3 linked regions of the Styela clava genome follow. The protein of the gene in region 1 purifies or fractionates together with the protein of each later gene. This does not show direct contact. Links are inferred from orthologs where the notes say so. Each region holds a gene or a part of one and is shown in the gene's direction. Other genes may lie near its edges.

The links. The genes of interacting proteins can lie anywhere in the genome.
Region 2: the proteins of splicing factor U2AF 50 kDa subunit-like (region 1) and uncharacterized protein LOC120335474 purify together in Homo sapiens (affinity purification with mass spectrometry; 3 studies listed by BioGRID and IntAct, counting the BioPlex papers as one, with this or other methods). This does not show direct contact. The link is inferred for Styela clava from reciprocal best matches to the Homo sapiens genes U2AF2 and ACIN1.
Region 3: the proteins of splicing factor U2AF 50 kDa subunit-like (region 1) and uncharacterized protein LOC120328439 purify together in Homo sapiens (affinity purification with mass spectrometry; 4 studies listed by BioGRID, with this or other methods). This does not show direct contact. The link is inferred for Styela clava from reciprocal best matches to the Homo sapiens genes U2AF2 and SNRNP70.

Annotation. Positions count from the first base shown.
Region 1 is NC_135261.1:11,542,510-11,552,771, forward strand, and holds the start of splicing factor U2AF 50 kDa subunit-like, read left to right. Parts: upstream 1-5,288; 5' UTR 5,289-5,440; coding exon 5,441-5,470; intron 5,471-6,033; coding exon 6,034-6,254; intron 6,255-6,728; coding exon 6,729-6,993; intron 6,994-7,078; coding exon 7,079-7,285; intron 7,286-7,889; coding exon 7,890-8,039; intron 8,040-10,262. UniProt on the Homo sapiens protein: Plays a role in pre-mRNA splicing and 3'-end processing. By recruiting PRPF19 and the PRP19C/Prp19 complex/NTC/Nineteen complex to the RNA polymerase II C-terminal domain (CTD), and thereby pre-mRNA, may couple transcription to splicing.
Region 2 is NC_135251.1:12,561,118-12,571,257, forward strand, and holds the start of uncharacterized protein LOC120335474, read left to right. Parts: upstream 1-5,703; 5' UTR 5,704-5,798; coding exon 5,799-5,933; intron 5,934-7,108; coding exon 7,109-7,180; intron 7,181-7,704; coding exon 7,705-7,783; intron 7,784-8,098; coding exon 8,099-8,286; intron 8,287-8,933; coding exon 8,934-9,596; intron 9,597-10,140.
Region 3 is NC_135256.1:9,927,824-9,938,206, reverse strand, and holds the start of uncharacterized protein LOC120328439, read left to right. Parts: upstream 1-5,946; 5' UTR 5,947-6,032; coding exon 6,033-6,113; intron 6,114-6,330; coding exon 6,331-6,462; intron 6,463-8,166; coding exon 8,167-8,286; intron 8,287-8,361; coding exon 8,362-8,424; intron 8,425-9,255; coding exon 9,256-9,334; intron 9,335-10,383. UniProt on the Homo sapiens protein: Component of the spliceosomal U1 snRNP, which is essential for recognition of the pre-mRNA 5' splice-site and the subsequent assembly of the spliceosome. SNRNP70 binds to the loop I region of U1-snRNA.

The DNA of each region.
Region 1 (10,262 bases):
TGAGCCCTGGGGTTTCTAAATTCATTCAAAAATTGCTGACATATTAAACGTTTTGTAGCTGGTGATTGTTCATAGGCCAAGTAAGTCTAACAATCGAAATCTCGGGCATAAGTATTTAACACTCACCCACTAGCTGTAAACGATCTCTAAATTTCTTATCGGGGTTTCTTTCACCAGCCACACAGAAAAACTGTATCAAGTATTGCAATATATTGAATATAACATCAGAATTATATCTATCTTGGAGCGAAATAAATTTTCAAATGGCCAATAATCTTTGCATCAATAAAGCTATATAATCAAATTACCTTTGCGTGGTTATCTTTAGCTCTGGTATGGGACGTACTTGATTTGAATCAAATTGCGAAATTGTTCAGGTCATCACCATCATGAAAACTTTGATACTACGCTTACGCATTTTTGATGCTGAATGAGCTCTATCGTAAATTTCCTGTGGAATATCAGGACTAGGTCCCTCTATATAACCCGGTACAAATTGTACAGAAATTTGTTGGATAAATTGATGTTAGGGTGGGCTGTTGGAACCCCTAGTAAAATGGGTTTTGCGCAGAAACCATAAGAAGTTACTATGAAAATAAGAATAATAATTCTGACAATACATTTGATACGGAATATTTCCATAACATATATTTGGTTGTTGACTATTAGGATAAACAACACCAGCCAAGGACGCCGGATTAACGGGTCTAGGAACGGTTGTAACAATTGTGGTATCGTTACTCCTAACACTTGGTGTTGTCATGCCAGACGCAAATCCAGAAAAGTAACAAAAACATTAGATATACTTGATACAAAAACTTCTGTCGCACTAGAAGTTGACGGAATATCTTCATCTTTTGATTGATTCGGTATTTTACGCGGAATTTTTTTTTCACTGTGTCGATGCGGAGCGACAGGTATCCAAGTAGGGTACTCGAAATGTAAATGTACGTAGCCTATGTTGTTTTAATAATGTTCTGGAGCGATCTGTTGCGCAATTCCATACACCACAGCAGATATTATTAAAGTATTGTTCTGTCATTGTCCAGTTTGTCGTTTCTCAATCTAAATTAATTGGACTAATGTTCAAGTGTTCTGTAACCGAGTAGCCAAACGAAGTTTGATTTGATGATGCGAATTGTCCAAAACTCGGTTATTTTCGTCAAGTTGAGTTCTGATGTTGTGTCAGTAAAACCAGAAAACCTAATTATATAAAATGTATAAGAAGCTGCTTCGCTATATATAGTTTTCATTGTCTGACTCACAATTAGAATATAAATTTTTGCAATCAAAATTGATCGTGGATCATTTTGTTATTATGTTGTTGTTACCGCTTCTTCTTGTTGTTACCGTATGAAAAAATCGTTAACTATACTGAACCAATTGCTTTGAAATTTTCAGTGGTTAAAGATTATATTATTCGTTCGATGGCTATTACTATTATTTATTCCTAAATTTTTATATGAATCCGACGAGATCTGATATTTCATCCAAAGTTCCGCTGTATTATTACCTACTGCTTGCGGTCTCCGGTGTTCGCGTTAGGCTGGTGAATCATGGTTCATCATAGTAGAGAAGTCTTTTAGATTGATTCAGATTTCCTATTTGTCTTTTCAGCGATCTAGAAAAAGAATTGTAAATGTAAGGGAGTGTAGAATCTTAGCAGAAAATCGTATTAAATTTGTGTGTGTTTTTAAGGGCACATTTTTATATGAAGATGCTAATGAAAGTAAAAACAATGAATATGATGACGTTGGATTTGGCAAACGACCTAGTTCCCAAAACAATATCATTGTAGTTGAGATTGAGCTTCAGAAAGTCAGACCTGCGCCAATCACTTTGATTGTTGGAATTGATAACAAGAACCAAGGGTCATCCAAAAACGAACCTGGAGTTAAGCCCAATTGTTTTTTCGCAAGCCCGAATGCGGCGCAGTTCACCAAGAGTAACAGAAAAATAATTCGACGTTTGGGAAACCATAGTTTTTTTTCTTCTGCGAATTAAAAATAAAAGAGGAGGGGGGATGTTTGACGTTGCCTCTAGTCCTAACACTGAACTAACTAAGATGTAAGTTTGCTGCCAGTTCCTATATAAGCGGAGAGGTTTATGTTGTTCGAAGTTACAGGTTTTTCAAATATGTTTTTGCGCAATTCGGGATCATCAATTTAATGCAAAGATTACCGCTATGTTACGACATTCCTATCTTGAAATGTTTTCATAAATTCGATTTTTTTTTTAATTTTATGGAGACTTTGCGACTTGTTTTGAACAGTCCTCAGCAACAATAACTACAGTATATTTATTACACTAATCAATGATAAATTATTCTACTCACCACCGCGTTCTCAATTTTGCACAATCGATTTTTTGTTTGCTCTCGCCATTCTGTCCAGTTTCTTCATCGCATCATTTGTGGGTCCAACTATCATTGGTCAACGTGGGGATTCGGGGAACTGCTTGCAAACGATGGTATTCAGATTACAGAATCGCATGGTGAAATTTTAATTCCATTCATATATACCATGAAACTAGAAAAATATTTGTATTAATAATAATAAATGTTCACTACTACTGCGATGAGGTCATAATATACGCAGGTTAAATTTGATATACTGACAATTTAGGATTTCGAATGAGACTAAATCTAAAGGCTAAATCTGGCGTTTTGTCTGTATACTGAAGTACAGGTGTTTCTACGAGAATCGACTTACTTGACTACTTTCGCAACATTATCTAATCAGCAAGATGTTAACGGTGACTTCACAATGACAACTTTGCGTTTGATATGAAACCAAAAGAACGAGGCCATATCCGGATTCAATATGCATACATTGTACCAACTGCCATAACATTTACTTATTTCACCGTTTTTTTCAAAAAAATATTTTTCTTTTTTATTGGATTTTCATAAAATAATACAATATTGCAATAAAATAAAACAATATTGTAATAAACAATATCAATCAACAAACAATACATCATAGCAATACATAACAACATCATTCCAGATAACTCTATGCATAACTAGGCTTACCATACGTCCCGCTTTAGGCGGGACAGTCCCACTTTTCAACGTCTTGTCCCGGTATCCCGACAGGTCAGCCAAATGTCCCGCTTTGGCGTTCAACCAGTCAGCATAAAACACGAACAATACAAATTATAATGTTATTGACACTGTTGTTGCTGTGTAGCGTACCGTTAGCCTTCTTACTGAAGATGCGTGCGTGGTTTTGTTTGTTCCGTTGTTTTGTTACATTACGGATAATTGCTACATTTTGTTACGTGTAAGCATCGTACGCCAAAAGGGGGCTTAACGTTAACGTAAATTTATTTCTATTTTTCGAACTGAAACCGATAATTAGACAGACAGCGCATGAACTTTCGATTACAATATGGTCAATGAAGACGGTTGGAATGGTTTTAAATATAGGCCCCCAATGTAAAATTTAAAGGAGCAAAAATCACAGATATGGTCTTTGGGGGGTCCCGCTTCGAGATCACAAAAATGTGGTAACTCGTGAGATATCGCGTGCATCTAACAGACAGACAGACAGACAGACAGACAGACAGACAGACAGACAGACAGACAGACAGACAGACAGACAGACAGACAGACAGACAGACAGACAGACAGACAGACAAATACCTATCAACATACTTACCGATTAAAATCGATAAGTAATAAAGGTAATAAGGTTTCAATATGTTGTTTACATATTTCACACACAGCACATACTAAGTCAGTGGTTCCCAACCGGCTGTCCGCGGACCGGTGTCGGTCCGCGAAGCTTTTTTGCCGGTCCGCGAGAAATTTCGTTGTTACTTATCGATTTTAATCGGTAAGTAAGTTGATAGGTATTTGTCTGTCTGTCTGTCTGTCTGTCTGTCTGTTAGATGCATGCAATATCTCACTAAAGCAATATTGAATCTGCTCCAGATTGTGCATTCATCATATGTCGAACCAGAAGCCTATTGGTTTTGGATGAATTACATTGTATAATTAGCAAGTTATTAATTAATTAGTGATGGGACACAAGGTGTCACTATGGAGTAAGAGCGCTGTTTTGGGGATCTCAGAGCTACGTGTTGCGAAAACTTCTTTGAGGCCTCGTTTGCTATCCTATATTGGAAACGGAGCAAACAGCAGCAAAATTCTCAGTTAATTGCGTTTGCACATGATTTGGTATGTACATGTTTTTTATGTGAGATGTTTTATGCTTGCCTTTCTTATTCATAATGGGTGCTCAGCACTGCATTTCATTACGCAAATACATAGTATTATTTTATGTTTCACTCATTTCAATTTTTGGCCGGCACATTATTTGATAGTTTTTCTTCGTGTGAAAGTTTTTAAGTGTGCCTTTTTGGCTAGAAGCATATTGAGCGCCTGACATTGCAATATATTATGCAAATATATGTTATTCTTTTCTGTTCCGGTCATTTCAATTTCTTGCCGGTCCGCGAGTACATTTAATTTAATTTTATCGCCGGCGGGTAAAAAGGTTGGGAACCATTGTACTACCGTGTTTTCCCGGAAAAAAGAACGGTGTCTTATTTCAATGTTTTTTCGATAAATACCACTAGGGCCTATTTTTTTTTGGAGGGGGGGGGGTGTTTTTTATTTTCATTTATCAAAAACAAAATAATAAATTAGAGATTTTCAAATATAAAAATGTAATAACCGATATTCATTCATGTATAAATAACACGTTTTTATTTAAAAAAAAACTGCTAAACATACATTATAATACCTTAAAACGGGTAGGAAAGATTTCTTGTTATCGAAAAAAGTCAAAAAAAAAATTGTTTTATTTTAATAGCTCACTTATCATCCTTCTTAACACTTTCTTAGAAGAAATCAAGTAATATTAACTGAAAAAACTACCGTATTGAAAGTGATATCCATCCGACCATGGGGGATCCACCTACAGCTGACCAATTTAATTGTTACATCATACAGAAGTCTGCGTTCATTGGTCCATGATACCGGAAAAGCAGAGAATATAGGACAGATCATAGCGCATATTTCTTGTAGTAAAAGCTAAAGCGTCTTTTCCGTAAAGCGTGCAACTTTTGGAAATGGGAACAAGTCATTATTTGTTAGCAAATTTTTAAGGAACATTTTAAAATCATTTTCAGGTAGTTCACTTTTGTGCGCTACGAAACTGAAAGATAAACTGCCTCGGCTCGCGGCCTATAAGTAAGTATCCATTTTCATATAGTCTATGTGTCACTATCGCCTCTAGTGATGAGGAATAATCACGTGACTTGTAGTTCCTTTCCTCGAGTCTGACATATTTGCGTCTGCAATTGTTCTGTACTGCTCGTCAGCCGTCTGTGGGTGAATAATTCGTGATACATTAGAAACCTCAGTGAATTTAAATTTTTCGTACCTGATTTTTAATTGTATTGTCGAAATTGGAGGTTCAGGAAGTACAATATGGACCAGAACCAACAGGCCTTTATGAAGGTAGTATACCGTACCGGTATTCCGGTTTGTTCTCTGCTGCCTGACTGCTCTAGGCTGGCAATTATATTTTAATTCCATAACGTACGTTAATTTGTTTGAGTATCTGAATTGAAATAATTATGCATAATATAATTGTTATAGTGAAAATACGGTACTGCAATTTTGCCTCCACGTCATACAAGCATACGGTACCGTACTGTACACATGAATGCATGATGATCAATGAAGTGGTAACTTAACGTTAAACAATACATGAAATAATTATTCAGTTATTAAAATATCAATTCTTAAGCTTATAAATCATGTAAATTACATTTTATCCATACATTTGTATAATAATTCAAGTTTCAGTGTTTGATATTGCTGAAAATATTCCTTTGCTTTTACCAACTGGTACAACCATAGTTTTTCTTTAGGGAGCCAAAAATGAGAAGCAATAGTGTGTCGCAATTCTTTCATCTGATCAGGCATGCTTGATTGATTTCTAATTTCGGTAGAATGAGACAAGACCTAATCAAACATTCAAAAAAGGTTTTTGATAAAATTATTTACATTATTTTCAGCAAGAGGCTGGTCCTGATTCATATGAAAATGGTGGTTATCCACCTGGAAATAATCAAGGATATGGAGAAGATATAAAACCACAAGGTGGCAATGAAGACAGGCGTGATCGTAAGAGGAGAGACAGGTCACGTGATAGAGATCATGACCGGAGACGCAGCAGAGATCGGGATCGTGATAGAGATAGGAAAAGAAGAAGCAAAAGCAGAGAAAAACGTCGAAGGTACTGTGTATGCGAGGATGGCTGAATTTGAATTCATTTCCAAATGTCTTTCAACAATCTCAGATCATAAGCATAATAACCAACTCTGCAGGTCATATTGATATATAAATATGATTCGTGATTGGATTAAATTCAAGTTTTATCTGTATGATAAATAATATTTAGTAATTTTTTTAAATTCATGTAGTTTATTGACTTTTTTATTATCAGATATGGAGTAAGTATCAAAGTAAGTAAGATTTTATTATAAAATATTTTTATAGAATGGATTTTTTTTTTATATTTAAAATAATATAATTTTCTGATTGATTATATTCTAATAGAATTTCAAGTTCCTAATAATGCAGTTTATTTTGTGCCAAGTGATTTGGCTTTTCGGTCCATGGCTATTGTAGGCATATTTATTATATTACAAAGATTTATTATTCTTGTTTTCTAAATTGCAGCGACCCCAAATTTTTTTTAACCCAACAGGCGATCGAGGTCAAGAGAGAATAGAAAGCGACGCAGTCGATCTCGAAGCAAGGAAAAACCAACTACAGCTACAAAGAAAAAGAAACAATACAAATATTGGGACGTGGCACCATCTGGGTTTGAACACCTCACCCCACTTCAATACAAGGCCATGCAAGCAGCTGGACAGATCCCTCTTATGGCTACAACTCCAAGTCTTGGCACTGGGACACCTACTGGTCCAGCGGCACCTCTACCGGGGACACAGATGACTCGTCAGGTTTGTGTGGGTAATTTTACCTGTTTCATGAATTGAATGGATTTATAGTGAAGCAATTTATACACGGATGTATTGTTTTACTGTTTTTCAGCCTTTCTACTTGTTCCAAGCTCGGAGATTATATGTTGGTAACATACCTTTTGGGGTGACAGAGGATGCCATGATGGATTTTTTCAATCAACAAATGAAAATGTCTGGTCTTGCACAAGCGCCCGGAAACCCTGTATTAGCTGTTCAGATAAACCTTGACAAAAATTTTGCTTTCCTAGAGTTCAGATCTGTGGATGAAACTACACAGGTAAATACAGAAATTTTTCAAATCTTGATATATTATTACTGTTAGATATATAAACAGATATAAGTATATATATAAGTAGATATAAAGATTTTTAGAAAGAGATTTGATATAATTCACCGCTAGATAAATAAACAGGACAGAAGTCCAATTGCTATAATATGTCTGAATGCGATATTGTGTACCATTTCTCAACTCGCTGCCATTTCTATTTGCTTAACTGCTTTATATGTTGAAAAAAAATGTAATATTACACCACAACAGTATACCAGACTTTATTCTATAGGCTACAAGGATGGCCAAAGCCGAATATTTTTCTATTTTAAATACATTATGAGAAAACGTTTTCGAATTTGAAGTATTGTTTACATTCTACATTGGGGCAAGTGCATGTGAAAAATTACATGAAATATCTAAAACAACATAAATATAAAAGACATTGTTTTCTCTGTGTTGTTTGTTACGGTTGAGATATTGTATTCGATATTTGATTCGTTTTGGACATCCCTGGTTCTATATCACCAGATAGTGTGATGCAAAACTTACCATCAGCTATTAATACTTATTGCCAAGTAGATATCAAGCTGGAGTATTGTTTCTATTTAAGGCTCTTGCTTTTGATGGTATAAATTTCATGGGTCAATCATTGAAAATTCGACGACCAAGTGACTACAAACCACTGCCAGGATCTTCAGAAACACCTTCTGTTCATCTGCCAGGTGTTGTTTCAACTGTCGTACAAGATTCTCTACATAAGGTAATATTATGTTGTATTGAAATTATGTAGAATTACCGTAGTCAAATTTGTTAAGTCTCTCATACAGTGTTCACTATTAGCGCACTTTTTTGCGAAAATTGCGAAACACTTTCGCAACTTTTTTTAGGGACTGCGAAATAGCACTTTTTTCCGATTTTGAAGAGAAAAAGCACTTTTTTCCGATTTTGAATGGAATAAAAATTCAAAGTTTTCAAATATTTTCGAGTATTAAGTTGACAAATAAGTAACATACTAGTACTTTTGTAACTCAATTCTGCATATCATAACGATATTTATCGGAATTTTAACCTATGAGATGCAGACAAAGGAGATAAAGCTTTTGCATTAACGGCAAAATTCTTGTTTATAATATGATTATTATACAAGCACACCGATTCCGCTTCTCCCGCAAAAAACGCTCCCGGGTGTTTGAAACCAGATGTTGGAATACTAGGCAGTGCGTTTCTTTGAAGGTCATGTGACTATCAATGATATCGATGAATTCAAAATGACTATAAAAGTGTTAGTAACGTGTTATAGTCACTTTGGATGAATTGTGACCAAACTGCACGATTTTCAAATCAGACGAAACTTTTAGCAGCATGTCACAGATTTGCAAAATCACCAAATTCACAAAATACCATTAAGTGCCATTTTATTGTAATCACAATGTTGAAGGGACGTGGCATTTTCCGGAATTTTGCGATATTTACACAACTATTCCTCATTGATATGCGAGGACAGGTGGGCAAAATTCAATATTTTTTTGAATCGAATATTTTTAAGGAGTACCGAATAAACGTGGTGGAAACATTAAAAAATCGGCAATAAAGCCTTTTTACTGGTTAATTCCGTTGTAATGGCTAATTGTTCTTGTCACCGATGGTTTTGGCGGCGATATCCAGGTTTTGGGTAATCTATATTCCCGCCCTCTCCTTTTTACAAATATGAATTCTTGTGGGTCGGCGGTCATCAAAGTTTTATATATCGGGTTTACCCGTTCGTTCACATCGGCAACAGCTGTTGAAGACATTGAGGACTCAAATTAACATTTGCGTTGGCTTTAATATTACCTATCAAGATTTGTAAATTTACCGTCCCAATTTTATGGGAATGGTAATATTATTGTCCATACCGTGATGCAGATATTTATTAAGACGATAATTAACTTTGTCATGTATTTCTATGGTGATAAACTTGGCAAACCTGAAATTGTGCCAATCCTGAATGTTGATTTAAAATAGTGATTGAATAATTCGGCAATAAAGGCATTTCTGCGTGGTCATAAGACGAGATGGCGTTAATGAACAGCACTTCTTTTACAGGATATTTTACGTATGCGACTTAATGCTAAAAAGATTGGGCTCGAGTGCTTTTTTTTTCGAGTGCTCGAGTGCCTAATAGAGGTCAGGCGCTAATTGTAACTAATTCCCTCAAGTTTCAACGTGTTTTCAACAAAACAATACCCCGGCGATAATTATAGCTAAAATGTTACCGAGCAATTCACAATTTTATTTATGGAATTTGCAAATTCACCAGTTTCTTGACGATTTTGATATTGTCATGCCCTAAGTATTAGTGCAAAAAATACTCCCATTCTTCCGCGGCGGTTTGACGGGTTCTTTGTTCTATTCTTCAGAAAGTTCTGACACGGGGATATAGAATACTGAATCCGGAGGGTTGAATCCCTGTCCACTTACTGGTGATTTTCCGTTTTGAAATGCGTGAAACATTCTTTATTTTAAATTAAATGACGTTTCGCGGGCTAGAGTTCTCCCCGAAAATGATGTGTTCCAGACGTTAGTTAGACGATAGATAAAACATTAGATTATTAATTTTCGTGACGCCCCGTTTTCGAAAATACAAAGTTATATCGCAAAAAAGCGTTATGATACATTTGGAATGAAACATTATTTACCGTTAATTCAGATCATATTTTACTCTTCATGACACCCGGTATCCGAAAATACAGTTGTATCTCGAAAAATGTGTTTTGTTACATTTAAAATAAAACATTTTTGCGATTAATTTAGATCATATTTTACTTTTCAGGACACCCGTTTTCGAAAATACAAGGTTATATCGCAAAATGTGTTTTGTTACATTTAAAATAAAACATTTTTGCGATTAATTTAGATCAAATTTTTCCTTTCACGGCAACCCGTTTCCGAAAATACAAAGTTATATCACAAAAAATGCGTTTTGTTACATTTATTTTGCATT
Region 2 (10,140 bases), on another chromosome or scaffold:
GGAACAACTCGTTCTTATATAACACTAATATACTTTCGCCCTATTTATTCTGTAAAATAAAAATTCCATTAGTTTGTTGTTTTATAATGAAACTAATTACAACTAAAATATTGTTTCTTTTATCGGCCAGTTTCTGAACTTTACTGATCTGTCGTGTTGATTGAATAAAATGTAGTAAAATTTTTTTTCATTAACGGCGTATGATGATTCGTAGCCAACAAAACTGAGATTAAACCGAAATGATTTATATAATTCAGATAAAAGTCGCTAAAAGTTTGAATAAGCATTTGCAGGACATATAGTTTTAAATTTAAAAAGCTTTTATCATTTCACAATTTCTTCCGTTCAGACGATTACAAACTGTATCACGAATCGTGTGGTATCGTGAACTTCAAAGTTAAATTACAAAATTATTTCTTATTTCATTTTTATCGAGTTGACAATCGTTCCCTTCGTCGTAACTGAGAATACAGAATTATATTTAATTCAAATAACACAAGAACAAACATCAAAGCAACACATTGGCAATAAATTAGTAACGTTTCTGTTCATTTTTATAAAGAATAAACACACCTGGCGCCTATCGATTATGCCAGTAATCGTTGATCTCGTAGTTAAATGAATCCTCTATGAAAAAGAAAACGTGTTTTATGTCATTAGGATTGGCCTTCCCATCTACATCAATTTATTGTAATTCGTTGAATCTGATGATGGATAATATTTCCCGCAATCTGATCTCTTTGCGAACCGTGTAAAATTGCCTATCACAATGCATTTGGTCATTACTAAACGTTAACGTACGTTTGTTTGTGTGATTCCGCACGCCGAAAATTCAGTACCACCATCAATCACATACATTTGCAAAGTGCAATCGGGAATACAATATGGAAATTAAAAACGTTGGACGACCTTGAATATTATTAACAACAATGATTTTGCAATCCAGTGAATGAACTTCTTTTGGTATTTTGAAGCGATTTGTGGAAAATCCGTAACAAATTCTACTTTGTTTGGAACTTCTAAACCTGCTCGTCGATGTACCTTCCACCCCAACACCTTCTACACTTGGAAAATCTAGTTATCGATTAAAAAACAAGAAGCAACAACAAGGCAACATCGTAACAATAAATATTTAGCGATTCCAGTTTTATCATACAAACATTTCAAGCCAGTAATCATAAAATGACCCAACTTCTGACAGTTTTTTTTGTTCACGGTTGTAAAGCGATTCCACTCGTTTCCTCCATCCATTTGAACTAAAGGAAGTTAATCAACGTGACGTGTTTTTGTCGTTGCCACCACACAAAATTCGTTGAATTTGTGATGAGTAATGTTTTCTGAAATTTGATCCGTCCACGAATCACCTGAAAATGATCATTAGAATAAAATCGGTGCAAATTAACCTTTAACTTACATTGAATTTCCTTATGTGGAGACACAGTCACGTGAATTGGATATGGTAGAGCTAAGGATAATATTTCCGGGTAACAATATTCTGTAAAGCAGTGGCCCTTAAAACTGCGATGCTGACTTGGCATGACAAGCAAACTGGTTTTGAAATGCATAAGGAAGAAAAACATTTTTCTGTTCAAACACTTTCGAATATTCTTGGAATATTTGAACTCCCTCCGTTTCCGAACATTTTTATATTTTAATAAACATAACTTATAATTATAACCAACATCGACGACATACAACTGACGCTACTTACTACAAAAAGGCAACGTACAGCAGCACTTGTTACCACGTAAATCCGTGTGGAGACAACAATAAATTTATAATCGATTTTTGTTTTATTGCATCAAAAGTCAAGTCGTTCGAGGGCCGCAAAAAATTAGATCGCGGGCCGCAGTTTGCCGACTCCTGCTGTGAAGTATTTTTTGTTTCATTCGTCCATGTATTTATGTGGCAGCTGGTCAAAATGTTGTTAATTAGAACCATAACAAAAAAAATGTAGGTTTGAAGTCTGTGTCGTACTATCCTACCTGTGCATTTAAATACACTTTTTTTATACAATAGCGAGACATTGGTACCTTGGTATATCGTGTTAGCCTACCCCTGCCCTACATGATGCTTTTCCAAACATACATTTATTGGGTTGCCACATAAGAAGAAGTTTTGGATTTCAGAAAAGCTACACAAATTGTGCAATGTCAATCAAATCGTGTTTATATAACATTTGTTTCGTATAAAAATAATCTGGAATAGTGTCCAGTTTTACATTTGTATAGTATCGTTGTGAATAAATTTTGAGGTCTAAATTAATTTCTTAAACCATACTGATAAATTTTGGCATAGCTATTGAAACAAGAGAGCTACGCCCAAATATATGGACACGTCTGTTCGCAGTACAGTACGGTTTACCGTACCGTCAGATCACAGTCTACAAATATATTCACACCAAGCGAAGCAGTACAGTAGGACACAAAATGGCGTCCGATGTCGGCAGAACGTTTAATGACGTCATAGCAAACAAAAACAAATCTCACAGAGCTAACAGAAATATTTAAAAGTAATAGCCTTCTCGGGAAAAATTTTATCTTCAACCACTGAAAATTTCAAAGCAATTGGTCCAGTATTCGAAGAGAAAAGCGGTTTTTTAATATGCAGAGTAAAGGATTAGAATTAGCCTTCTCGCACGTGTCATTTTAAACTAAATTAAAAACTTGTTTCGTGGACCGTATACTTTTTTAAATTGGAACGGGCCGCACATATTTTCCTTGTGGGCGCATTTGTCCCGCGGGCCGCAGGTTGCACACCCCTGACCTAGACATTTTATAGAACGATTTCAGGTTCTCGTCTTTGGCATACCCCATCACCCACGAGTGACAAGTAAAAATATATTTCTCTCTCATCTTCATTTGTCAGGCTCAAGATTAACTTCTTTTTACTCGTGTATGCTTCTTCTACTCTTGCAATTCAAAGAGCCATGTTCTGTTTTCAATAAACAAAATCTTTGGTCTTCTTATTTTAACAACCACAGTAAAACATCCACACCGTGACAATATGAGCATGACGACGAATTTGTTCGAGTTCGGCAACTTTCAAGGTTGCTGTTTAATCGTAGTAGTATATATTTACGGTTTAATTGCAGCAATCAAAAATTGTCTAGAAATAGCTGTGAGAGAATAAGCTAAAATTCTCTACCGTTTTCTGCGAAAGATACACTAATGGCGCGCGCTTTCGGCGAAACTGTTGCTGTGTACGTTTCTCGTGCTAAAATGAACGTCGAACGAGCTTTTTGCGCTGATAGTACAAGTCACATTAACTATTGTACTGCTAACATGCGGATATTCATGACAGCAATTGTTTTGGTAACAGCTAACCCCAGAATAGTTGTCTAGAAATCTTGTATAATTGTTTTGCTATGATGTTCTAGATCTATACTCTGCGATATAGAAGAGTTCAATATTTGAGACTTCAGAAATGTATTATTTATATTGTTGAATAAATTAAAGGAATTTCCCAACTTATGGAAATTTATTGTAGGCCTATTGCTTTGACAAAAAATATTTATCCGGCCCGTTTCAACACAGTTTGAGTCATACCAGGCCCGTGGCCAAAAAAGTTTGGTGACCTCTGTGCTAAAGGATTGTTGGACTTCTCGCCGCCGTAGGGTGGTTCACGTTATAGCAATTAACCCCCAATTATAATCCAGTCAACAAACAACTTATCTGTAGTGTTAACAAATCACTATAACGGAACCGCTGGTAGGCCATGGCTTTCTCCGCCAACAAGTCCGTATCTGACTCAAGTAACTGGCTAACCAACCCCAAACCCGAAATAGACTGGTAACCGGATGGAAGGTCGTGGTTCGCTATATGATTAAGCTGTCTTATCGGTTTTTCTCTCCTCCGTGATAAATATGTAAATCCCATCCTTTCCTAACAATGTATGAATGAAATTTCGGACGAGAGGCCGTGGTTCGCTATATGATTAAGCCGTCTTATCGGCTTTCCTTTCCCCCGGGATAAATATGTAACTCCTATCTATCCTAACATCATTAGAAATATAATTTTAATACAGATAAAAACTATACATATGAAATGTATTCAGTTGAACTTTGCCTGTCTTTTACTTTAATACTGTCTTTTTCTTGAGTTTCAGGAGACATATCTTTCCATACTGGGGGTCGCGCAACGAATTTAGGGGATCACAAAGAGTAGGCTACACTAGTGCTATATCTATTGTATTTTTCAAAATTTTGATTAGAAACATAATTATCAAAACTAGTCCAAAACATTAATCTCACGATTTCGAGAGAATACATATAATAGGATCAGAAAAGCGGCACACTTCCGTGACTTTGATAGTAAGATCGGAGAAGCATAACAATGCCGACTTCACAATGATGTGGAAAATTGTAATATATTGGAAGGGGTCGCGAACTTATAAAAGTCTAGAAAACCCTGCCTTCTATTTTTAAAATAGATCGACTAAGGACACCGAATGTGTGATTTCAAAATCTTCCCATTTCTACGAAAATTCGCATGTATGCACTAGAAAACCCCATGTATGCTCTTCATTTGTTTATTTGCTCACCGGTTTCTCTGAATATGTAAGATTCCGGACTCCGCCACGACGATTAAGCGTTGAAACAAGGCTGCTGAAACCTGATTTCGGGAAAATGCGGGGTTTTGGTTCTTGGAGAATTCGCTGCATGAGTTTGATTTTACGATTTCGTTACGAAATTAGGCTTGGAGAATTCGCTGCATGAGTTTGATTTTACGATTTCGTTACGAAATTAGGCTTGGAGAATTCGCTGCATGAGTTTGATTTTACGATTTCGTTACGAAATTAGGCCAGGCATCCTCAGTTTGCTAAAATGTTACCTACGTAAACTTCGCGGTAACGTGGTTTAGTTCAATGAAGCAAATACGGTAACAAATAATTATAGTAATTCATTGATACCGTACAGGTAGGCTACCTATGACCTAGCTTACTATACCGGTATTTTATTCCGTCAGTCCGTGACAAGTGCAAAGTGACCGTTTACCGGTATACATACAGACATAGCACGCATTTTGCCCTCACGACTGCACGAACACGCCAAAACACATTCAGACATTACAGGTACCGGTACCGTGTACGGAACAGCGATACCGATACGGTACCGGTACTGATTAATAACTAAAACCTGAGAACGGCCTCTTGTGGAATGTTCTGATGTTAGACTCAATTGAATCTGGTCTGATTAATTGAACGTTTAATAATTTTTTTCTCCCGAGTCTATGGCTGGCCAAGCTTTTTTAATGTTACAAGCAAGACATTCAGACAAATATTTTATGCTCACAAAAATTGTTCACTCGCATCTGCGCATCCTGACATCTGCACGGCGGACCAGGTTATTTTGGTCGACGAAAAAATAAAATCTCTCTCTTTGGAATATAGAAGACCATAAGTTACTTTCTCTGCGTTGAGACAGTCGAAATATTACTTTACGATGTTGCACGTATCTTACAACGAAGATTTGCGTCATTACAGCATTAGCGTCACATTCAATACTGCAATATAATCGTCGATACAGCGATATTTTGATGAAATTTTTGATTTAAAATATTAGGTTTTCCTCAAATCTTATTTGACATTTCGTGATCACTGTATTTTTTATTCGCATTTACACTGCTGAAAAGTAAAATGTTTTAGGTTATAAAGGTACCGATAGGTTATAATTTTATCGAGCATTATTTCTATGAAATCATAATTTTTCAGTACACTTGACTATCTGTTTCTGAGTTTTGTATTTAGTAAATAGAAAATTGGCATATTATATGTGTGTATGTGCTGACTGAATCACAATGTCAGAAGAAGAAGTGACTCTGAATGGGAAGAGATTAAAGGAATTAAAAGTTAGTGAATTGAAAGCGGCATGTAAAGAAAAAAATCTACCATCTGGTGGGAATAAGTCAACTTTGATAAAGAGACTCAATGCGGTGAGTTAGTTCTCTTCATTTAAAATTTTATTTTTCATGATATCTCTCATAAAATCAGCAGGCCAAAAATGTTTAATGTTCCCGAAGCTCTGTTTATCATCTGACGTCAATCTTTGGCACAGGGAGATTTCAAAGCTCCAGTGGTTTTGAAACTTTCTAAACCGTGCCCCCCTTTTAGAATTTGTCAAGTCTCGGGCCCCACCTCAAAAATAACTATCTAAAAATAAGCTACAGAGCTACAAGTAGCAGATAGGCTAGTAAGGCGAAAGTATGTTTTATACAAAAAGCAGTTTGAAAATACGTGGATGGAACATAAATAATGAAGATTTGAAAACAAAGAAAATTTGTCACAACAGCTCTGAGCAATTTCTAAGCAATAAATAAATTGTAAATATCCAAAATAGACGGGCAAAATCAAATCTAACAACAGGTTCACTACCCCTTAAAAAAAAATTTTATGTCTCCCTCTACCATTTGAGAACCTCTGCTCTAATCTAAATTCAAGTCACTGCTATTTTGAGTCATTTCAGAAAATATTATATTCATAAACAAAAGACAAATGGATAAAAAAAGAGTCATATTTATACGAAACATAATTTTTTTTTGGTTTTTGGAATAGAATTAGTAAATTATTTTGATCGGTTTAGTTAAAAACTTCTAATCAGCGTCATATTTTTTTTATTTACAAAAGCTCAGAGTTAATCCCTCAAAACCGTATTTTTAAAATGCAATTTTGATCTATTTCTTCCTATTGAGGTATTGATGTTTAATAAGTGTGTGACAAGTTTCTGACAACTGAGCTCACTGACTAAATAATGAATTCTATATTTCAGTATTTCTTTTGTTTCGAGGGAATGTTACAACAAAAAAGCCATATACAATTATAAATCTTCTAAGTAATCGAGATTTGATTCAAGAAAATATTCCTTTTTATTCTGAAATATGAACCAATTTGGTTGTTTGAAATATATATATTCTGAAGTATTGGAAAATGCCCAGCCTTAGTTATCAAACTATTAGTAATCATGCATTGGCAATGTAATACCTCGACATTGCCATAGCCTGTTTCGAATTATTGCTTTATCTGGTTGTGCTTCGTTATTTCCTTATTCAAAGTTTTTTTCTTGTTTGTAATTTGTATGATAAATTATTTTGACCTGCATTTTATTTGCCAGGCTATTGAGCTAGAAAATCTCAAGAAAGCTGCTCAAAGTTCTCCTGGTGCTGCTACATTTCCAAGTTCAGAGGTTCGTGAAAGCTAATTATTTAGTTTGGAATTGATCAATTTCCTACATTGCTAGTCATTTATTTCAGATGTTTACCTCGCTTTGTGTGAATATTATTTGGAAAAAAAAAATAGAGGAGAATATCTAGATTTTTAAAAAAACTGAAATTTCCAAATGAAAATATACCTGTTGTAACATAAATTATAAGGTATTTGTATTCTCAATCAACTCTTCTTCTGGATAGTTTGAATTTTAACTTATTTAAAAACTAAGTAAAGTTTCAACGATTCGACTTTTTCTTTGCACAAATGGTGTAATTCTTCTCTTTTACTAAAATAAGCCTCTTTCCCACATTTTAGAAATTGCTTGGAATCTTAATCGTTTCTTCGGACGCCTTCTGAGTTACTGGTACGACGGTACCTTTGCTTCAATATTATTTGCTTGTTTTATAATACGATCTTTCTATCATCCTTGAATTTTTTTGTCATCCTGTCGAGTTAACTTTATGAGTTATCTTTTCGAGACTGACAAATATTTTTTTTCAGATTGCAGGCGATTCGGGGGAGAATGACTTTATCAAGCAATATATGGAAAATCAAAGAAAACTTCTGCAAAGCAGTCGTTGTATGTTTTGAATATTTCTATTGTATTTTATGGTCACTGTGTCCATTTCTGGAAGGAGAATAGTTTTTATTGTATCTTAAGCAAAAGAATCGAAAGCAGTGTATTCTATGACTCCTTGTCTACTTGTTGGTTTTGAATGTTTTCCCCACTTGTACTTTCATGAAAAAAAGTTTCAAGCAACATCATTTTTATCACGGGGTGAGGGAAGCCGATACGACGGCGCAATCATATGGCAGTGGCTGCCTCTTCGGACCCTTGCTTGGAGGAGTGCGAATAATCGTTAAGAAAAAAATATATAATAATCTTTTTTTTTAGTTTCATCAACATCAGAAGCAGATTCAGAAGATGATTCATCATCTCATAAAAGTTCTTCAATCGTGTCTCCTCTTGTCCCTCGTAGATCAAGGAGACTCACCACTGAAAGTAACCAGAGCTTAAATAATAAAGAAGAAATTCAGCAAGAAACTGATCACGGCCATGTAGAACGAGAATCAACAACAACAGTGAGTTATCCTAATAATATCTGTATCATATTTTTTTTTTGAAATAGATAACTTCTGAAAGTTATTTTGACGATTCGGGTAAAATGAAATAAATATTGAATGTTAAAATTTGTGGGTGCCATTGACTTAGCAGAATTTAAACCAGGACTTTTTAAGCTGGAATCGTGTTTAAATGAGCCTGAGTTTGGTGTTAATGCGGTTGAAATGTATGTTTAATAAATGTCCAAAGCAATAACCAAAGTAATCCTTAATAAGCAACACCAACTGAACTGTGCACCAGACTACCCAGTGCACATGGTCACTTCACCTTCACAGCTGGTTGGTCATATCACTCACTTGTAACTGATGACATCACAGGTCATGCTCAACCAGCTGGAAAAATGCTAGTTGCCAGAAATACAATAAAGATACAGGTAACATTTTGAATCAAAGTCTGCTGTAATTTTCTTCGATTTCGCAGCCTGAATACTTTATTATAGTGCCTTTTCCTAGTAAATTGGCAATTTCCAATTTTGCAGTGTGAAACATAAATTCAAGTTACCCAGCACAGAAGTAAATTGCGAATATATTCTTAGAACATAATCAGTATGAACGTCTATCGTTTAGCTATCAAAAGTAATTTTGAGATTATACTCTAATGAATTCAGGTGCAAGCAACTTTAAAATCCACAACTGAACAGCTAGGAACCCCAAACAAAGTTGAAGAAGATCTTACTACCAACAATAAGAAAGAAGAGCCGATAGATGAAAAAGTTTCAACCAAAGATAATGTACAAGAGGAAGAGAATATTGAAAACCATATGGAACAGAATGCATCTGTGGAACAGGATTTTGCAGAAAAGCAAGAAGAGTCGAGCGACCAGAACAAGGAAAAAGAAAATACCGTAATGGATGTTGGAGAGAAACAAATTCATGAAGAAGAGGGGAAAAAATCACAAGGGCAACAAATTAACGAAGGTGAAAAACATGAAGATCAAGAACCAATGGCGGAAGCACAACTACAGAAAGATAGCGAGAGCAAAACTGATGAACAAGAGAAAACAGAAGAGGCACGAAAAAAAGAAGAAATTCCACAAAAAAGCGATGACAATGTAGAAAAAATGGAAAATTCTGAGAGCGTTTCTAAAGAGCCTGTTCCTAGTACTGAAGTCGAACAACAAGAAGACTTCATTCAACCAGAGAATGAGGAAAAATCTGAAGAAACTATACAACCAAATGATGAAAATAAAATTGAAGAGACTGATGAAAATAAAGAAAATGTGGAAATGGAAGTGAAGGAAAAACCCGAGACTAATAATGGATCAAATGAGGTAACGATATATTTGCAGTGAGGAGTATTTGAAGCCAAAATTTAGGTTGAAAATATTTAAACAGGTGGTTCTCAAGCTTGTTGAGCCACGCCCACTTTTTAAAATTTGTCAAGTCTCGTGCGCCACCTCAAAAATAACTACACCTACAAATAACATAACAGATAGTAAGGCGAAAGTATGTTTTGTTTGAAAAACACTTCAAAAATATGTGGAAGGAATGGGAGTATCCAAAAAAAGAAATGTAAATATCCAAAATAAGGCGGGTAGTATCAAATCTACCAAATATTTTTTATTAGCTTTACGCCCCCTCACTAAAATGTCTACGACCCCTTTTGTGGAGCTCGCATCGCTGCCTGAGAACCACTCATTCATACAATAGGTTGAAGTTTATGATTCTGAATCAGTTTAGATTTTGGATCGGACTAATCTATAATCACCATTGCATATATCTTTATGTCAATTGACTTATTGTCAGCATAGTCGTTATTCCTAAAGTATGTGTACCAGGTTAGGGTTGGGCCATAAATTTTTTTCCATTTTCCTT
Region 3 (10,383 bases), on another chromosome or scaffold:
AAACATATTGAAATTTTTCAATTTCCATCGCAATCGATAGGGGTTGTGTAAAAGATCTTTAGATTGAACTTAAATATGCAAACTATATTGAAAGAATCAAAAAAATACGATTACATACCTGCTTTGCTGACCAGACTCGATAGGCTTCTATCTCAATCAGTGATGAATACCAGGCAAATGACGAGGCAATTCTTTTGATGAAATGATGTACTGTCTTGCTAACTTTCAATCAGTGTTGGGGGAAACTGGAAATAAATTTATTTTTAGTTTCTTCTCAAATTATCAGTAGCGTATCTATTGTATGGCAGCTATAGCTCCTACCATTGGAGACTTAGGATTGCGGTGCAAAAAGAGTGAAAAGTTTTAATCCTGAATTGTTAAAATAAATAATTTCTGCCTTATCACGAATTCAAAATTACGGTCGGTAAGTTAAACGTGGTTAAACGGTTAAACGTGGATGTTTGCATAAAAGCTGGATAAAGGAAATATTTCGTGAAATTATTTCCGAGGACCTTCAGGTTTGGTTTAATCAAACCCAGTTAAAAAACACCGTTATAGACAGTGTCGTGCTCTTTACGTAGTATTCAGGGATTATTGCTCCAGTTAATGGGTTGTTTAGAATGGTTGTTTCCACCCTTTTAACGCTAGATTACGCGTATGTGGGACAAAATAGTCAACTCCAAGGTGCGACTCGACGAAATAAATGGTCTGGTTCTAACAGATTTGGCCTTAAATAATTATGAGCGTGCATTGGGGATCAAACTAGCGAAAAGGAGAACGAAGAAATGCAATTTTTCTGCTATAAGATAAGCTTATACTAAATATATATACAAAAAAGATAATTTGTCGAAGATTTCCAAAAAAATTACCAACTTGGAGTAAATTTTTCAGTGCAGTTATATTCAACCGGATATACCATAAATAAGCAGGAGTATACCAAGATAGATCCCGGCTATACAAATAGCAATTGGCATACGATGATACACTAGAGCTATAGCCTGATTCAAACAATCAAATTTCCCGGCCCGTTTTGAGTTTTTGAACGCGCGCAGGTCCCGTTCAACATCGGGCTCAATAATTTATGAAGTATTTGTCTGTCCACGTCTCGAAATTTCCGAGTAAAAGCTATAGTTACAAATCAAAGCCAATATTTCCCTTTTTTATTTAGCACATATAATATTTTGTGACCAGCGTAAGACTTCTATCATAACTTCACCAAACAACTTTTCTGCGCTATTTTATTAAATAATCTTGGTTATTTGCGAAGTATATACGATGAAAATAAAAAATTGAACAAGGTGTAACATGTAGTAAAAGGTCGAACAGCGCTATTTTAGCATATTAGATTGGAATATTTTGTAAAAAGCACTCAACAATAATGCAAAAATAGGCGCTCCTGAAGTATGCGTACCAAGATGTCGGACACCATAACATAGTATGTGTACCAGGTTAGGGTTAGGCCATAATTTTAGGTACAAATACTACGGGAGTCACATGGCTAGTCCCCGAACTCCCAAAAGAACTAAAATAAGGAAAATTGCATTAACATCATAGTCTAACCCTAACCTGGTACACATACTGCGTTCCGGTGTCCTCCATGGTACGTGTACTTCAGGAGTACCCCAAAATGTGAGATTTGATAAAAACACCTCCGCCAAGTTTGAAAATAACAAATCAGTAACTAGTTAGGGTCAGAAACGATTTTAAAATTTGAATTTCCAGCGCAATCTTCATTTTCGGCCCAAACCTCAAGCCAGTAGTTAATAATTTCCTTATTTTGAGGGTTTGTGTGAGTGTTTTGTTTTTGACCGGGGGATTTGTTCAACCTCCAACGATCCTTAGATTGAACCTAATTATACGATTAAAATTAAAAGATTCCGATTACATACTTGCTTTGCTGGTCAGACTCGATAGGCTTCTATCTCACTCAGACGAATTTCTCTTATTGATGACGTAGTATACTGCCTTGTCAACTGAAAGCTGAAAATAAATGTATGTGACATGATCGTCGTATTTTCACCCAAAATAATAACGTACAAGTATTTCAATTCAACAACAGCCTTTCGAAATTGTGATTCAACCATCAAGGAGCGCATTTTAAAACTTTTGCGTAGATAAATCCTTTCAAATAATTCAGAGATTTCCCCTAAATTTATGAAATATTACTTATTTGGAATGATCTGTCGGTACATTGTGTTGCATCTCATCTTGTATATGACTTATTACTTCTGTTAAGTATGTGGCATTACCATATTGATTACATGAATCCATGGATGTCGAAAAGTCAAATAAAATGTATAAATATTACCTGTAGATTTTCCCTCGGTTTCGTTACATCGTGTCTTAGCATCTTCAATTTCAACATCAACAACAATTCTGCATCTGAAAAGTTAAGATATTAATAATACACTGTTGCAGAACTTTCTAATGCGGGAATGGGAATACGTCTAACCACAATAACTAAAATATAAAAGTAAAAAAGCCAAGTATTTATCAATCTATGAATTTGGAGTTAAATTTGAGGTTTCGAAAGTTATCTATATTTCATTGATGTAAAGCGTGCCATGTGAAATGCAGCTTACGTAGTGACTTATATCGGGCGCGGCCTAAAAAAGTGCGAGAATCACTGAATTCTAGGATATATATAATATGCGAGGACTCCTGAGAAAATATCGAATATCTGATGAATGAAACAGCAGAGCTATTCCATTAACTTCGTATCTTTCGCTAACTCGTCAATTTAGAATAAGTCTCAGGTATGTTTAGATTTTTAGTTCATATTGAAAATTATAGGAAATTGTAATTTCAACCAGAAAGATTTAGAAATCATGTTTGTGAAAAGCAATATGTACAAAAATTAAGATAGTAAGCAACAACATTAACCAAATAAATAAAAAAATATAGAGTTTTAGGGAAACCATATAACAGCTTTACAAACGCTTGTTTATATTTAGCTTACCTGAATATTGTTCCAAAGAGACAAACTGATAAGGAGTAATATTCCAGCACCAACCACACACAAAATCGACCGCGCTTCATCATGTAACTTTGCTACTGAGGCGTTGTCGCTTGTGCTTCCCGCGCGAAGAGTGGACGAAAACGCTAATTAGTCCTTTGTAATTAAAAGTTTTTAATTAGTCCCGTTATTTCAGTATCTAACAACCCTGGATCGCTGCGAGCGGATCACGCTTGTGACACGTGATCACAAAACATAAACAATGCAGATGACATTTGGTATTTGCTTAATATTACTTGTTGTGACAGTTTGAATGCCCAATTTACACTAATTTCTCCATCCAAACCAAATGTTGGAGACATAACATACATAGCCATACAATTGAGTTACATGTGAAAATCCTGTTTAATTTTTCAGACCGATGGTAACAATTGATAAAGACTCGATTTAGCGCAGAGCTAGCCCAAACTGGAGTTGCGACACCGCAGGTGAGACGCAGCAAGTTTTGGGGTTGCACAGAATACTCGAATTTTACACACAGAGTACTACCGGAATATCTAATGTAAATTTTATACTTTTGATTCAAAACACAACTATTAAAACTAATGAAACGTATAAATTCCACTAAACATTGCATAAAATCATAGAAGCGCTGGGCTTGCATCGAACTGCAAAAGTTTTGGAAGCCCATATTGAACCAACTTTCAAATCAGTGATTCGTAACCTTTTCGAGCCATCAGAGAATCCTTTTTATTACTCAGGGAATTTCGTCAAACCCCAAAGTTCTGCCAGGTTGAACCAGAACCTCGTAGGGGGAGTGAATTTTGTGCAAGGTATAACACAGGGGTGGGTACCTTTTTCGGCTTGCGTGATAAAATCGGCTAAATATTTTTAGAAATTTTTTTGCGTGCCGACAAAAATTAAAAACAATGCTTTGCTTAAACATGCACAGGCAGATTCACTATTCGAAAAAAATCAGTCCGACGAATATATGTGATTACTTTTCTTATTCTATATATATCAGTATATGAGACTTCTACTGCTACATTAACGCTGATAGAGATTGGACATTGGGTTTAAATTTTGTAACTTTCAAAAACATACATGACATACCGGTTTCATGTTTTAGGCTACTTCTGTTACGAGACTAAATAAAGTTCATAGCTGAGAACAGAGATTCCCAAGTTTATGTAGAATAAAACAAAATATTTCCAATTGAGTGTTGTATTTCAACACAAAACACCGTTGTCGGGAAATATGGATATCGTTGGACATAGGTAGATTCCGGTTTTATTTTAAAGTCTTTCCCTACGGTAGAATTTTATTTTTTTTTGATATTTGTAAGGTAAATTACTATATATTATAATGCATCGATTTTATGGTGAACAAATTCTTATAATATTTTCAATTAAGTGTTGCATTTCGACATAAAACATTGCTGTCGGGAAATATGGATATCGTTGGACATAGGTACATTCCGGTTTTATTTTGAAGTTTTTCCCTACGGTAGAATTTTTTTTTATATTTTGGTATTTGTAAGATAATTTACTATATATTATGATATATTAATTTTATGGTGAACAAATCATTAGAATATTTCCAATAGAATGTTGTATTTCGACACAAACAACCGTTGTCGTGGAAATATGTATATCATTAGATGTTATATCATTAGACATGGGTAGATTCCGGTTTCATTTTAAAGTTTTTCCCTGCGGTAGAATTTTTTTTTTTTGATATTCGTAAGATAATTTACTATAAATTATAATATATTAATTTTATGGTGAACAAATTGTTAGAATATTTTCAATTAGGTGTTGGATTTCGACATAAAACACCGTTGTCGGGAAATATTGATATCATTCGAGAGATCCAATTTCGGGTTTTATTTTAAAATCGTTCCCGACGGTAGAATTTTTTTTATTTTTTGATAATTTTTAAAAAAGTACCATGTAATATGATTATTTATTTTTTGAGGAACAAACTTTAGGATCAATTTCAATTTATATTTGAAATTTGACTTGAAACACCATTACCGCGAAATATTGATATCGGTCGAGTGTGCTAATTTTGACTTTAAATTTAAAGTCTTTCTCTACGATAGAATTTTTTGAAATTTGTAAGATCATATACTGTATAATATGATAATTTAATTCCGTGATAAACAACTCGTTGAATCCTTTTTGATGAACTGTCGAATTTCGACATCAAAAGCCATCGAGACAATGTGTATCTGCTGGTGTAATGTTTTTATCATCATCATTTTTTTTATTTTACAAGATGTATTTGTGCAAATCAGGTATGGTTTATTCATAACTACATTTTATTCATAAAAAGATCAAGCACTTAGCTTAGATTTCAATTTTCCTAATTTTTAGGTCTGACGGAAAATTTCAGGCTTGCTTACCGTCATATCTGGCAACTTTGATTAGAGATATTATTGTTCAGTTGATTTTGATTCATTTTCCCGGCAATTGTGGCCATTTTGTGCCATCAATTGGCAGACTCTGGAAGGTTCTGGTGCTGATTAAAATGTGGATATGGGTAATTTAGTAATCTGTGAGCGTTTAGGATGCCTCAAATTACCGTATAACACTGTCAGAACGCCAGCCACACACTCGTGTGACGCTAGCCCGCACTCGTTTTTGTCAGGCCATGCTTGGTACCGGTATTGCATTTGCGTTGTAGATTATATATCAGATATGGTCTCTTTATTGTCAGAGCCACCAAGTTTTTATGTAATAACGTTTATAAAGCCAGTAACGTTAGTCTATTAGTAGACCTAGGAAAATTCTATTTTCAGTCTATTCCAGTATTCTGATATTCAAAAGTTACCGTACAGTTCAATACAATTTATTTCGGCATTCAATCTAAATTTTGTATCGTTCTGTACGGTACCGGTATCCGTTTTTCATTATAGCCTATTTCATGTATTTATGATGTGCTTTTCCTACTGTACCGGTACGGTACCGGTAATAGACTTTATATTATGCATGCATGACTGCATGATCGTACAAATTCAAAATTGAAATAATAAAAATACTAAATAATATTATTTTGAATTTATACAAGAATAATGACACAATTTCTGCCTCCCAACTTGCTAGCTCTATTTGCTGCTCGAGACCCAGTTCCGTACAAACCTCCAACTGCTCAGGTAAGTGAGAAATGATTATAAATATACCATATAAAACTGTAAAATGATTCTATAATCAGATAATCTAGGAATTTGACTTCATAATTTTGATATATTTATTCATATTATAATTGTTGTTAGTTCTTCAAAATATGTCTCATGTAATGCTGGACCCTTTATAGTATTTTTATAAAAGTATGAGGTTAACATATATTTTATGTTTCACATTGTTTTATAGCTATCATGGGAGAAAGATCGCGAAAAGAATCCATACTGTGGTGTTTCACAATATACCTCACTATTTGAAGATCCCAAAGACACACCTCCACCAACCAGGGGAGAGACAAAAGCAGAGAAGAAAGCCAGAAGGGTACTTTGATATTTAAAGATTGTAGCATTCAGCGGATGTTTTGAAAGTTTGGCAATCAAGCATTTTCATAGTCTTAATTTTATGTTTAACTCAATTATCACGACCAATATACTGCTCTATATCAGGGGTGACAAACCTGCTTTCGACCGTGATCGACTAGAATCTTCAAAATAGCTCACGATTGACTAATCGGAAAAAGGGTCATACACAAACGAATGGGTGCTGAATATGCAGATAACTACACACAGCATACAAAAATTTCCCCACTGCTAATAAGCTTGGATTTGTAGGCGCAATCCTAATGAAATCGTCACAAAAGTTTTTTTTTCATGTTCCATTATTAAAATTGTTAATTTGATAATCTAATTGTACCCGAGGTAAATGTTTCATCATTTGGGGTTTATTCAAATCACATAATCCAGATATAATGTTGGATGTTATATGACTGCTCGAACTTCAGTATCTACTTTATAATTTCCTCTGAGTGCGATTCTTCGCTCGCTTGGAATTGGAAAAAATGGGTATTCTGATGCCACTGCTATTATTGCTAATGAAATTTATCACTTCTCTCGTAGTTATACAATAACTTTCGAATACTGCAGAATAGGATTGTAGAATGTATTGTAGGATCGTGTTTCAGTCAAGACACTCAATGGCAGCAATCCTCTCGCACATAACCATCCCTGCATGGGATTCGAACCTGCGAACCCACGCAGAGTAGTTAGGGGTGCGGTGGCGAGCGTATTCCTAATGCTTAGTCCGTTGAGCCACACCGCCGCGCCAAACTTTCATTTTTTACAATCGACGGAATTGACTGCTTGTAAGGAGCACGTTTCAAACGCGAAAGCGCTCGACCAATAATTACGACTTTACGTAATTTGTAACTTCCCTTCCGTAACTCGAAACAATTCCGTAAATGACGTGCAAGCCTACTCCCACCTACTACTGTATGGATCAAAATGGACTTCTATAAGCTTTTTACTGACTGCCTTTTCTCTGTTGTGCATTAATGTGTGGTCTTATTTGCTGTGAAACTTTTATTAATGATGCAAGCACTGTGTAGGACTGCTTTATTTTTCAACATATACTTTTAATTGACTGAAACGGAATGTTTCTTTCTATTTGTATTTACTGCGGGTTCAGGTTGTAGATATCGGTATGTCCATATCGGTTATCGGTCACCAGTTGGCCGATATATCGTTATCGGTGCCAAAAAGTGATATCGGTCGAGCTTTACTCAATATTCAGCCCTTCTTTTTTTAACCATGGCATGGCGAAACTTCCATTTGTTGCTTAATAATATGCTCTCGGGCTTGCCCAGACTCAAATACTGTATATGTATATCGTATTTTGCGTATGTACAGTACTGTATTCTTTCAGTTTTTAAACACACAACTGGCGCTGCATGAAATTAATTCAAGACAATTTTTTGGGGTATGTTATCAAATTCACTCAACATCAGACGCGATTGACTACTCGAGTCGTGGTGATCAACTGGTCGATCGCTGTCTACGTGTTGGCCACCCCTGCTCTATACTAAGGTTTATAAGCATTTTTATCCCTACATATACATGACTCATGTTGGAAAGATACGACTCAAAATGCGTTACTGGATTGATTCAATCAGTACCTGATTGCGAAGTGCAAAGTATCCATATTAATAACATTCAACATCTTTTCTACCATTTTTTTCATTTCAAACAGATAAAAGAGAAAGCAATACTACGTGCAAAAGAAATTGAAGAAGAAGTTAAAAATTACGATCCCCACAATAATAAAAGTGCAACAGGAGATGCCTTCAAAACATTATTTGTGTCACGCGTAGTAAGTCTCAATTTGTAGCCTTTTTTCAATGTTCTAGTCTTCAATTTTAACTCGATATTGTTTCCTTTATTTCAGAATTATGATACCTCTGAGTCGAAGCTGAGAAGAGAGTTTGATATGTATGGCCCCATACGTAAGGTAAAGTAATTTATGAGTTTTATATTCCAAAAATTGGATTTTTGTTGCAAATTCAATTTCTGCATTGAATTAAATCTGATAGAAGCGTAAATTTTTCGCTTCTGTCACGGAGTTAATTTGCAATTTTTGCTTTTTAGTATCTTAGTTAGCGAGTGTACTTTCTTGCTTGCACATAGAGTCATAGGGGGATATATATATGGCAATTGCTGCATTATGCTAAGTGCTAGAAATATACTTCCTCACACCTCTGATTACGGACGCTACTAAAAAGATAGGTATCACAGGTATCAGTGACTAAAAATGTAGATAGCAGTAGTAAATGACCAAAAAGGTGGGGTCAGGGTTACTGATACCCTCCCTGTAAACCTACCTACCTTTTCACTTTTTAATTCATCTACTACTAGTTGATACCTACCTTTTTAGTGACTGATACCTGTGATACCTACCTTTTTAGTAGGGCCCCTGATTACCCTGGTCAGTTATTGGCTTCCTTTGACATCAGAATCATGCATCTGAAACAAATAACTGGTTAACCATTTCCATATTCAACATCGACTAGTAACTGGACAAGAGGCCACGGTTCGCTACTTAGTTAGGCTGTCCCATCGACTTTGCTCCCCCTTGGGATAAATGTAAAAGTGGTATGCTAATATTGCTATATTGTTCAATCTTTGTTAATAAGTCATTTGAAGCCGATGATTAAAAAGCTGAAAATAAAACTTTTGACCAAATTCAATTTGTTTATTCAAACTTTTTTCTTTCGTTAATTTATCCCTTTTGCCAGAAGTAATTTTTTTGATTTTTTTTCAATATTTCTGTTTTTCATTTTAGATATCTATGGTTAAAGATTCGAATGGGAAACCTCGGGGTTATGCTTTTATTGAGTTTGAACATGAGAGGGACATGCACAGTGAGTGTTAAAATCAGTTGTTAATATTTTCAAATCAAGACTGCAGGTTGTAATACATGAATACTGTGCCTTCTTTTTTAATGGATCATAATTTTAAATCAACTCAATTGACAATCAGAACAACATACTACAGAGGCGCGATCTTTCTTGTATTATAACATGCAAGCTTGCAAAACCATTTTGGTGGTAGGTGTGTTTACATCTTTTTCCTATCGAAAACTGGCCATCTACAATTATTGCTTTAAATTATTTCTATCAAATTTCGGTTTATTGTTGTATGTAAGGTCAGGAAGGTAGGTAGAACCACAAGATTTCGTTTTGGGGGGCGCTCCAAATTTATCGATACCAGTGTCGTTTTTTTACTTAATGACTATAAATAAAATAGTGACAGTTTACTAAACGATTGTTTGTCTCGTTTTCCGCAGCTTAACAATGTGCTGCATAAAAAGGCGCCATTGAAAATGTGAATGTGATGAACACACATTGTGTAACTTCAGAATGTCTCGTCATTACAAAGTTATGAAAATTGAAATGATTCAGTATTAGGTTTGTATACTCACCGCCTTACTATTCGCTGGATTGGTAAGAAGGGTTTGTATACAAAAGATCTCACCCTATTTGGTCTTTATGACAAAAATCTTGCAGTTAAATTTGGTAAATTGATAAAAGCAAGTACACTGGGTCATAAAATTTAGCTCAACTCTTTGGTAAGTTTGATGTCTTGCTGATGTGTCAAAAGCTAGTCCTGGAAAGAACCACAATAGCCAATATAAAGGATCACTTTTGAATTAAAACCTGATGTTTTTATCTTATCAAAATTTGTTCTAATTCCTTGGATTTGCACCTAGTCTTTAAATTTGCAACAACTTCCTGAAGATTGCTTTACCATTTTACAAGGTCATAGTAACTATTTTATGGTAAGAGCTACGATATGTCAAAATATCAGGTAAAGTCCCTTGTGGAATAATATCCTTGACTGATATTTCAGAGCTCCTTTGGAGTGGAGGTATTAATACACCTCATTAAAAATACTTTTATTAAAACTAAAA